3 linked regions of the Macaca fascicularis genome follow. The protein of the gene in region 3 interacts with the protein of the main gene of each other region in a biochemical or structural test. Links are inferred from orthologs where the notes say so. Each region holds a gene or a part of one and is shown on either strand. Other genes may lie near its edges.

What was found.
Region 1: of the proteins of MAPT (region 3) and PPP5C, one has a biochemical effect on the other in vitro, tested with the Homo sapiens proteins (3 studies listed by BioGRID). The link is inferred for Macaca fascicularis from reciprocal best matches to the Homo sapiens genes MAPT and PPP5C.
Region 2: of the proteins of MAPT (region 3) and MARK4, one has a biochemical effect on the other in vitro, tested with the Homo sapiens proteins (2 studies listed by BioGRID). The link is inferred for Macaca fascicularis from reciprocal best matches to the Homo sapiens genes MAPT and MARK4.

The regions. Positions count from the first base shown.
Region 1 is NC_088393.1:54,404,347-54,407,991, reverse strand, and holds part of PPP5C (serine/threonine-protein phosphatase 5), read right to left. Parts: intron 1,559-3,645; coding exon 1,411-1,558; intron 708-1,410; coding exon 586-707; intron 1-585. UniProt on the Homo sapiens protein: Serine/threonine-protein phosphatase that dephosphorylates a myriad of proteins involved in different signaling pathways including the kinases CSNK1E, ASK1/MAP3K5, PRKDC and RAF1, the nuclear receptors NR3C1, PPARG, ESR1 and ESR2, SMAD proteins and TAU/MAPT.
Region 2 is NC_088393.1:53,300,568-53,304,312, forward strand, and holds the start of MARK4 (MAP/microtubule affinity-regulating kinase 4), read left to right. Parts: upstream 1-1,356; 5' UTR 1,357-1,655; coding exon 1,656-1,706; intron 1,707-3,745. UniProt on the Homo sapiens protein: Serine/threonine-protein kinase. Phosphorylates the microtubule-associated protein MAPT/TAU. Also phosphorylates the microtubule-associated proteins MAP2 and MAP4.
Region 3 is NC_088390.1:67,600,368-67,604,012, forward strand, and holds part of MAPT (microtubule-associated protein tau), read left to right. Parts: intron 1-2,569; coding exon 2,570-2,785; 3' UTR 2,786-3,645. UniProt on the Homo sapiens protein: Promotes microtubule assembly and stability, and might be involved in the establishment and maintenance of neuronal polarity.

The sequences.
Region 1 (3,645 bases), on a different chromosome or scaffold from region 3:
GACTCACAAGAAGTCCCGCATCCTCACAACCAACCCAGGAGGTGGTGGATCTCGGCAGATCCCCCAAATTATGGTAAAGTCCCTGATAGGTCAGGGCAGGGGGCCTTGTCCAGATAGGATACCAGAGCCCAAGTCTCACTCAACCAGTTAACACCCTGTGGCCAGTTGCCCTCCTGGTTCGGAGGAGGGGATGGTCTCAGGACTAGGAGCCACCATCAGGTCCCAAACAGCCTGCAACAACCAGCAGCCACAGCTGCCCAAGAGCCTGGGATGAGAACTCCAAGCAACAGACTCCGCTGCTTCTTCACCTTTCACCCTGACCTCTCTGGCCCTTTGTCCCTGCATCTGTCAAACGGCACTGCCCGCCACCGCCCCAAGCTGCTGTGGGATGGATGAGATGAGACTCTGTGGGAAGCCCTTGGCACGGTGTCTGGCACACGACTCCTGCTCAGTGTTGGCTGTCGTGGCCGCCCTCCTCCTGTCGTTGCCGCCCTCCTCCTGTCGTTTTGCTCAGTGCCCATGGCTGGCAGCACTGTGATGCCACCCCAGGGTTCCCGGGTGCCTGGTACCTGACAGGTGCATTACCTGGTAGGCGCATTTCCGGTGCAGTTTTTTCTGGTCCTTGTACCACTGCATGAGCTCCTTCATGAAAGTGATTGTCACTTTGCCATCCTCAAGCTTGGGTCCGCTGTACTCATCCTCAATGGCTGGGGTGTGAACGAGGGGGGACACGAGAGTCAGTGACCACAGCCACTGTGAGTGGGGAAGAGGTCTCGCTCCTAGGGATGGGGCAAACCTGGCTCTGGACACACAGGTTGAGAGAGGGACGGAGCAAGTGAAGAGTCCCCTCCTGGGTCAGGTCTGGCCCAGAGGCCTCTTCCTGACCTCCCTCTCTACCTTCACCCACATCCTTTTACCCTATTCAGTTTTATGGCACTTAGCACTATTCATTTCGTGACTTGTTCATCATCTTATCTCCCTCCTAGAATATCAGCTCCATGAGGACAGGGAGGGCTTTGTTCATAGCTGTACCCCCAGTGCCTAGGACAGTGCCCGGCACATAGGAGATGCTCAATAATCATCTGTGGGATGATCCAGAACAATCACTTGGATCCTCTCAGCACCTAGAGGTGAATCAGACACAGCCTGTGGGGCCTGTGCTACTACCCAGAGGGAGGGCCCGTGAACTGGCAGTGGGTCCACGGCTCCCCAGTCTTGCTCACTGGGAAACGTGAGGCCCTGCTTTGGGCTGTGGATGGAGTGCCCTGGAACACAGGCAGAGGAGTGACAGACAGTAGGCTGGGGACAGAACAAGGGGCCACCCCTGAGCCCACCCCCACCCCCAGGGAATGAAGAGGGCCCGCGTGGAATGTTCTGGGCTGAAGCATGGCGCGCCCGGGCCCGACTCACTCATGCTCTCGATGTCCAGTGAGTCCACCACGGAGCGCTTGTGCTCGTCGCCCGCGATGGCCCGCTCAAAGGCCTTCTGCTTCACGATCTTGTTGCACTCCTGGTATTTCATTTTGGCGTCCTTGTCGTGGGGCTTCACCTTGACAACCTGGTGGGGAGGGAAGGAGTGTGCACGCTGAGGCTGAGGTGGGGGTACAGCGGCTGCCCCCAGGCTGCCCAGCCCTGGGTTCCATGAACACGGAAGTCAGACCGCCTGGGCGCCAGGTGCTGACGGTGCAACCCTGGACATGTTTAACCTCTGAGCCTTGATTTCTGCACCCCAAAACTGGGTACAGCAAAGCTGCCCGCACGGGTGCACTTCATCAATCTTAGCCAAGAGTGCGCTAAAATCAAACAACTGCCTGTCTGAGGGTTATGGGCTCAGGGTGCCCTGTAAGAATCCCTGTGGGGCGAGCGACGTCCCAAGCACATGTCCTGATGCTACTATCGTGACTACCAAGGCGGCAGGAGGATGAGAGGAAGGGCCCGCAAAGGGCCAATGACTTGCTGGACGACATGGGCTCCCCAAGCCCAGGTTACCTCATCTCTAACAGGGAGGTGACACAGGGCTCCCCTGCCAGGGCTGTGGGAAGTAATAAGTAACACACAAGGCCTGGCACGCAGCAGGGGCAGGCGGGCAGCAACACTGAGTGCTGTCACTTCTCTTGCTCACCCTCTGGGGAGGCCTGGGACAAAGGATTTCCCTGTTTTGTCCACTGAAGAGAGGAACTGAGGGTCACAGATCCCGGACACTGGGTTCAAATCCCAGCTCTGTAGGTCATGAGTTGGGTGACCTCAGGCAGGTGAGTCTGCTTCTGTGGCTCAGTTTCCCTCTGAGGTGGGACTGAGAACCGTGTCTCCCTCAGAAGGCCGCGGTGAGAGCTGCACGGGTGAATCTTGTGAACTCTGCACAGTGGTGCCAGGTGAAAGGAAACTCCACGTTGGCGCCCACTGCTCTTCACGGTCCCCGCTCTGGGGCTGCTGCGCTGATGACCAGATCAGATGATAGGCGTGGGGCGCTCGGCTTTGGGACAGAGCAAGTTCCCAGTGAAGGGAGCCCTATCCTCTCCCCTCTCCCCATCTTATTTACTCCAATTCCTGCAAACTCGGATCTTCTAACCTGAAAAGCAGACTGGATTTGGGAGCTGGATTCGGATCCTGGCTCTGCTACTTACTTGCCGTGTGACTTTGGGCAAGTGACTTCACCTCTCTGAGTCTCAGTTTAGTCATGTAGACCCTGTCTGACCTGCCCACCAGCCTTAGCCTCCCCAGGAGCGGACCCCCACAGCTCCTGTGCCAGAGGACAGACTGGGAGGCCCCAGGGCCGGCCCTCAAGGAGCAGGGGTGGCCTCTGGTGGAAAGCCTGGCAGTGTGAGTCAGAAACCTCCAGAGACACCCACTGACCCCTGCAGGCTGGTGTGACAGAGGTGAGGGGTGAGGCTCATCCACGCTGGGAACAGGTGTGTGTGTCAAGCGGGGTGAGAAGAGCCCATGCCTAGCAGGCCACGGCTTCCTCCCTGTCTGGGCAGGCCCAGGGCACCCTGCCAGGCAGCTCCACCTGGGCTGTGGGTGGGTGTAAGGCAGGGGAGGAAGATAGCACCAGGCAGCCCCTGGCATCCTTCCCAATGGGGAGCGGTTATGTGCGCACACCCGGCTGGTGTCCAAATCAGCATGTGTCCTGGCCCATGCGGCTCCTCCCACCCCTCTATACCTCCCAGCCAGACCACTCATGTCCCCAGCGTGCTGGCTCCGGGCCTTTGTGCAGGCTGCCCCTGCCCGGAGCACCTCATTCGCACCTCCACCTCCTCCTCCAGGTCTCAGCCCCACTGTCCCCTCCTCTAGGAAGCCCCAGAGGCTGGGTCAGGCAACCTCTCTGGGCTCCCAAAGGCCCCTGGGCTCCCTTGTTCCAGCCATGAGCCCTGCTGGGAACCGGTCTGTCCACCGCACTGGAAGGGGGCCCTGTGAGGGCAGGGCTGAGGCTCAGCCATAGCTGTGCTTGCAGCAGTGAATGAATTTCCCTTCCCCTCTTTCTCCAAACAAATGAATGAGTGACTGAGCATTTCCTCCCCGCCAGTCTCCTATTCTCCTATTCTCCGGGGGCGGGCGGGCTAGGAAGGAAGATGAAGGCAAACAATAACAGTGCAGGCAGGAGAAAGGGAGTGGGAATAGCAACAGGGGCAGCGGAAGCAGTAATAA
Region 2 (3,745 bases), on a different chromosome or scaffold from region 3:
CCATTATATAGTACTTTTACCGTGCAGCTACAATAGACGTAAGTAACCTCAAGATCACAGATAATGGCAAATGTAGTAAGATAATTAGGACGTGATGAGTATGTATTACCTGGACTTTTAATATAATTTAATTGTATGTTTGCATAATTTAATTTTTAATAATGGCTGTGTTTAACAACCAGTTCCAAAATTCCTGAGACATAACAATCAGCTTGCTCCAGCCAGATCCAGCACACTGCTGTTTTAGAAGGGAAAACTGAGGGTCAGGAAAGTGGCCCTCAGATAGACGAAGGCAGGGCACAGACCCCTTCCCAAAACCGTGTGACTCCCAGGCCAAGACTATGTAATGCCCGTTTTTCTTGTGGATGGTCCCCACAGCGCTGTGTGGCCTCCGAGAGGCCTTTGTCCTCTCTGGTCTCAGTCTGCCCGCATGGGGAGTGGCCGTGCCCTGCAGGCGAATACCTGCACAGGGTTCCTTCGCACCTGCCAGTGAGCAACACACGGATTCTTCCTCTCACTTTACAAACTGGGAAAGTGAAGCCCAGAAAGGGCAAGTACTTGCCCTGGGTCATACAGGTGGACAGAGATGGTCCCCAGCTGGGGTGCAGAGGAGAGGATACTGCAGCCCCAACCGGGGGGTCTGGAGCTTTGTGGGTTGGTGGAGGCGGCCTGACTAGGGAGGTCGCTGAGCCCTCAGCATTGGCCAAGCCCTGCACACCATCCCCTTGACCCACCCCACCCTTAAGCCTCCGAGGGAAGAGCTTCCCCTGCCCCCCCGCCAACTGGGGAGAGAATGGACCGGGGGGGGGGGGGGGGGAGGGACAATGTGGGCAGCGCCTCTGAGGGCTTCTCTGGCTCAGTCCCTTTATCTCCATCTCTTCACAGATCTCTGCGTCTTTGTATCTCTTTGTCTCTCCCTGTGTGTGTGTGGGGGGGGGTCTCTCTTAGTCTTTGTCCCTCTGCGTCTCTGGGTCTCTCTGTCTCCGTGTCCCTGTATCTCTCCCTCTCTGTCCTCTGGCTCTCCGTTCATCTCCTTGCGCCTCTCTCTCCACCCTTTTGTAACTCGTCTCTCTCTCTTTGTGTCTCTTTATCTCTACGCCTCTCGATCTCTCTCTCTGCGTCTCTGGCGCTCTGCCCCGGTCTCTCTCTCCCCTTCTCTCCTCTCCAGTGCGCCTCTTCTTCTGGGCGAGAACACGCTCCCCGCCGGCGCGCCCAGACCCGCCTCCGCCCCCGGCGCCCCGGACCAGCCCGGGCCTGCGCCTTTAAGGGCCGGCGGCGGGGGGCGGGGTCCCGGTGCCCCGCCCTGCCCGCCCCTCCCCCTGACGTCCCTTCCTCCCTCCCCAGCCCCTCCACCGCCTCCCTCCGCCGCCGCCTGGGCCGGCTCCGCGCCCCCTCCGCGGCCCCCGCCCGCCCGCCTGCCCGCCCGCCGCCCCCATGGCGCCCGGGGTCCCCGCTGCACGGGGCCACTAGGACCCTCGGGGTCCCTTCCCCTCCCCCGCCCTGTCCTCTCTCCCGCGGCGCGGACCCGGGCGTTCTCGGCGCCCAGCTTTTGAGCTCGCGTCCCCAGGCCGGCAGGGGGGGGAGGGGAAGAGAGGGGACCCTGGGACCCCCGCCCCCCCCACCCGGCCGCCCCTGCCCCCCGGGACCCGGAGAAGATGTCTTCGCGGACGGTGCTGGCCCCGGGCAACGATCGGAACTCGGACACGGTGAGTGGGGCCCGGCCCCTTGGGGAGCCCTGACTGGGTCCAGCCGCCAAACCCTTCGCCCCGCTGTGCCCCTCGCCCCGCGAGCCCCTACCCTCGTTTCCTGGGCTCGACCCTACTCGTCGCCTCTCGACCCCTCCCGGACTTCCAGGCCTCTCGGCCCTCCCCACCTTTTCCAGCCCAGCCCGACCCCTGGGGGCGCCCCTCTCTCGGGACCCCTCTCTTGTCCCCGTGCAGAACGCTTCCGCTCGGGTCTGTTCCCTCCAGGAAGCCCCCTCCCCTGCTTCCAGGAGCCCCTCCCTTCCCTCGCGCGTGCTAAGCCCTTTCCCCTCCAGGCTGTCCGCGTCCGACACCTCGCCCCCTCCCGGATTTGCAGGGCCCCTGACCCCCCAAGGCCCGGCCCTGGCTCTCCCAGCGGGGCCTGGCCCTGTCCTGCCTCTGGCTCCGGCCTTCCCTATCTGGGGCTTGGTGCCGGCTCTCCAGGAGCCCCTCTCCTCTCATTCCCAGTCCTCTGCCCCTCCAGGACGCACCCGGGGCGCCTGTGGGCAGCCCCTGGCAGGAAGCTGGTTTCCACCTCTCCTGGGCCCCGGCCCTTTTCTGCCGCCTTCAAGGTCTCTCCTGTCCCAGGCCTGGTCCCCATCTTCCAAGCAGCCCTGTCCCTAGATCCCAGCACTCCGGGGCCCCCAGAAGCCACCTGGACCCTTTCTGGTCTCTTCCTCTCCCAGGAAGCCTTGGCCTCCAACTTCCAGGCCCCCACCTCACCCAGGCTCGTATTTCTAGGCCCTGGACCAGTCTGACTCCAGGCCTCATCCGCCCTCTATCAACTTCTCAGCTTCAGGCAAGCCCCTTCCCCAACCCCCAACCTCTCCACCCATGCTAGGCCAAACTTAGGCCCCTTCCCCACAAACCACCGTCCTTTCTCCTGCCCCAGGGCCTCCCCCTTCCTTGCTGGGGGTCTGGCCTCCCAAGGAAGCCCCCTCCTCAGCTTCAGAGGCCTTCCTCAGCTACAGGGCCTGGCCCCAGATCCTTCTTCCAGAAAACTCCCAGACCTGAAGCCTCTCATCTTGCCCTGGCTTCAAGCCCCTCATCTTGCCCTGGCTTCAAGCCCTTTTCCCTTGGGGTCAATCTGTTGGAAGCCTTCTCCCCAAATTTCTAGACCCTTTGACCTCCCCCAGGGCTCAGCCTTTATTCGTCTGTGCTGCTCCTTGCCCAAGAAACCCCTACCCCATACTTCCAGGTCCCCCAGACCCTTCTCTAGTTTCAAGGACTGCTCCTAGAAACCCCCTTCTCTGATTCCTAGGAGCTTCCCAAGATCCAGGGATTCCTGGCCTCTGACTTCCACTGCCCCAATAGCTTTGTCACTTTCCACCATTCCCAGGCGCCCCCTGCCTCTACACTGTTTCCCAGAGAGTCCCAGGGAGGCCCCTCCCTATCTCCTGTGTCTCTGATCACTCTGATCACTTCCAAAGACCTGCCCACCACCCAATCCTAGACGTCTCCCCAGCTGGGATCTTTGTGTCTTTCTCCAAATCTTTCTGCCAGGTCCCTGTTCCCCTTCCCCCTGTTTCCCTCACCTCTGACAGACCGCCCCCCCCACGCGCACACACCATCAGAGATTTGTATCTGTCCCTTCCTCATCTTGCAGATCCCTCCCTCACAGAGACCACCCCCATCATCACTACGGGCCAGAACTCCAATTTGGAGTCTAATGAAATGCCTACTACCTCTGTTCCTTGGTCACTGCAATCTACAGTGAGGTGCCAGGGGCTCCACAGTCCTGGGTTCCAATGCTGGCATGGCTAGCTGGTTTGCCTTGTGTCCTCAGAAAACCAGTTCTCCCTTTCTGAGCCTCAGTTTCCTGCCCTGGAAAATAGGGGTGACCGCTTGAGTGCCTCCTTGGCTTACTCGATTCAGGCAAAGCCTGGCACCTAGGAAGCACTCCACAAATGCCAGCTGCTATTGTGGCTGTGGGTATGAGTCAGACGGCCCGTGGATTCTCAGCTCAGGGCTGTTATTAGTTGTTGAGTGAGGCTGCAGATTCA
Region 3 (3,645 bases):
TGTGATGGCTCAGGAAGGTGGGCAGGGCCCTGCCCCTACTCAGAAAACATCATCCTGGTCCCAGGGATCCCCGCAGCGTTAGTCCCGTTTTCCGTGTGTTGAGAAAAATTGCTAACAAGCAGTGGGGCACACCACCAGCCTCCTGGGTTCCTTTCAGTTTGGGGATTTTTGGACATTCCCAGGAATGTCAACTTTCTCTTAAAAAACACTTCAAAAAACATTAACATAAATATTTTTATCAAAGCTTGTATTAAATGGTCTTTCAAGAAAATACAGTAACAGGCCAGGCATGGTGGCTCACGCCTGTAACCCCAGCACTTTGGGAGGCCAAGGCAGGCAGATCACCTGAAATCAGGAGTTCGACACCAGCCCGGCCAATGCAGCAGAACCCCGTCTCTACAAAAAATACAAAAATTAGCTGGGTGTGGTGGCACACACCTGTAGTCCCAGCTGCTCGGGAGGCCGAGGCAGAATTGCTTGATCCCGGGAGGTGGAGGTTGCAGTGAGCTGAGATTGCGCCACTGCACTCCAGCCTGGGTGACAAGAGTGAAACTTTGTCTAAAAAAAAAAAAAAAAGAAAAAGAAAAAGAAAATACACTAATAGAGAACAATCTGTTTTTCAAAGTAGTGACTGCAAATGAACAAAATATGCATCTAGCTTAAACGGGAGCATGGTTTTCTCTATGCCCATTCAAGCCTGCTGCAATAGGGGCCCTTCAGCCTGGATCCATGGACTCCTAAAATTATATGGAAAATGGCTGTGTGGGTGTGAGCGTGGGTGGACATGTGCACACATATTTTTGGCTTTACCAGATGCTCAAAGAGCCTAGGACCCAACAAGGGCTGAGGATAACCCTGTCGGCCGCTTCAGGGTCATCAGGAATTCCTGTGCGCTGCTCACTTCTCCAGTGAGCGCCTTCTGCTTCCGCGTTTCCTGGTATCCTTCGGGGCTCCTGGCTAGGTCATGTGTTTCTCTACTTTCTTTTTTTTTCTTTTTTTTTTTTTTGAGACGGAGTCTCGCTCTGCCACCCAGGCTGGAGTGCAGTGGCTGGATCTCAGCTCACTGCAAGCTCCGCCTCCCGGGTTTACGCCATTCTCCTGCCTCAGCCTCCCGAGTAGCTGGGACTACAGGCGCCCGCCACCTCGCCCGGCTAGTTTTTTGTATTTTTTTTTAGTAGAGACGGGGTTTCACCGTGTTAGCCAGGATGGTCTTGATCTCCTGACCTCGTGATCCGCCCGTCTCGGCCTCCCAAAGTGCTGGGATTACAGGCTTGAGCCACCGCGCCCGGCCTGTTTCTCTACTTTCAAAAGGGCTTCAGCCAGGCACGGTGGCATGAGCCTGTAGTCCCAGCTGCCCGGGAGGTTCAGGTGGGAAGATTGCTTGAGCCCAGGAATTTGAGGCCAGCCTGGGCAAGTAGATAGATAGGTAGATGATAGATAGATAGGTAGATAGATAGATAGATAGATAGATAGATAGATAGATAGATAGATAGATAGATGGATGTATAATAGATGGATAGATAAGTCGCTAGACAGACTCCATCCTAAATCACCCATCCACCCACCCACACATAAAAAGGCCTTTGTCATGTCATGTTTTGTGGCCCACCTGCCAGTGCTGCCCACAGTTGCTGCCCCTCCAAACTCATCAGTCACTGGCAAACAGGAGGAATGTGTGTGGCTCATGTCTGGGCATCAGTGGCTGTGGGAGACATCCTTGATCTTCTCCAGCTTCTCCTTCCACATTTTCCTTTGCAATCTGGCAATATCTATCAAAATAAAATGCGCATGCCTTTTGACCTAAGAGCTCCACTTCTAGGACACACTTACAGGTGTGTGACATGATGTTCATTCAGGGTTATTTATCTGAGGTTGTTCATACACACCATTGCCTGTAATCACTAAAGGCGGGAGCAGCCTAGGCATCCATTCACAGAGGAGTAGACGCCTTTGGATACATCCGTGGTGACGGAATACTAAGCAGCCTGTGTACATATACACTCACACATGTGTTTGTTTATGTGTGGAATATCTCTGCAGGATACACAAGAAACTTAAAATGATCACTGTCTCTGGGGAGGGTACCTGGGTGCCTGGGAGGCAGGTCAGGGGAGGAGTGGGCACAGGGATTACGAATTGGAAGACAATAAAAACAACAGCTTCTGGCCAGGCACAGTGGCTCACGCCTGTAATGGCAGCACTCTGAGAGGCCGAGGCGGGCAGATTGCTTCCGCCCAAGAGTTCGAGACCAGCCTGGGCAACATAGTGAAACCCCGTTTCTATTAAAAATACAAAAAACTAGCCAGGTGTGGTGGAATGCACCTGTAATCCCAGCTACCCGGGAGGCTGAGGTGGGAGAATCACCTGAGCCTGGGAGGTTGAGGCTGCAGTGAGGTGAGATTGCACCACCTCACTCTAGCCTGGGTGATAGAGCAAGACCCTGTCTCAAAAACAAATAAACAACAGTCCCTGGCACTGTGGGCCAGGCCTGGCAGGGCAGTTGGCAGGGCTGGTCTCTCTTTCTCTGGCACTTCATCTCACCCTCCCTCCCTTCCTCTTCTCCTTGCAGATTGAAACCCACAAGCTGACCTTCCGCGAGAACGCCAAAGCCAAGACAGACCACGGGGCGGAAATCGTGTACAAGTCGCCGGTGGTGTCTGGGGACACGTCTCCACGGCACCTCAGCAATGTCTCCTCCACCGGCAGCATCGACATGGTAGACTCGCCCCAGCTCGCCACGCTAGCCGACGAGGTGTCTGCCTCCCTGGCCAAGCAGGGTTTGTGATCAGGCCCCCGGGGCGGTCAATAATCGTGGAGAGAAGAGAGAGTGAGAGTGTGGAAAAAAAAAGAATAATGACCCGGCCCCGCCCTCTGCCCCCAGCTGCTCCTCGCAGTTCGGTTAATCGGTTCATCACTTAACCGGCTTTTATCGCTCGGCTTTGGCTCGGGACTTCAAAATCAGTGATGGGAATAAGAGCAAATTGCATCTTTCCAAATTGATCGGTGGGCTAATAATAAAATATTTTTTAAAAAACATTCAAAAACATGGCCACACCCAACATTTCCTCGGGCAATTCCTTTTGATTCTTTTTTTTTCCCCCTCCATGTAGAAGAGGGAGAAGGAGAGGCTGTGAAAGCTGCTTCGGGGGGATTTCAAGAGACTGGGGGTGCCCACCGCCTCTGGCCCTGTCGTGGGGGTGTCACAGAGGCAGCGGCAGCAACAAAGGATTTGAAACTTGGTGTGTTCGTGGAGCCACAGGCAGACGATGTCAACCTTGTGTGAGTGTGACGGGTGGGGGTGGGGCGGGAGGCCATGGGGGAGGCCAAGGCAGGGGCTGGGCAGAGGGGAGAGGAAGGACGAGAAGGGGGAGTGGGAGAGGAAGCCACATGCTGGAGAGGAGATGCCCTCCTCCGCGCCACTGGGAGGGCCAAGGCCTCCGCCACCTGCAGTGTCTCAGACTGAGCGGCTGCCTGTCCTTGGTGGCCAGGGTCTGCTGCGAGTTGATGTGCCACCCTCTGCAGGGCAGCCTGTGGGAGAAGGGGCGGCGGGTAAGAAGAGAAGGCAAGCTGGCGGGAGGGTGGCACCCCCTGGATGACCTCCTTGGAAAAGACTGACCTTGATGTCGGAGGGCGCTGGCCTCTTCC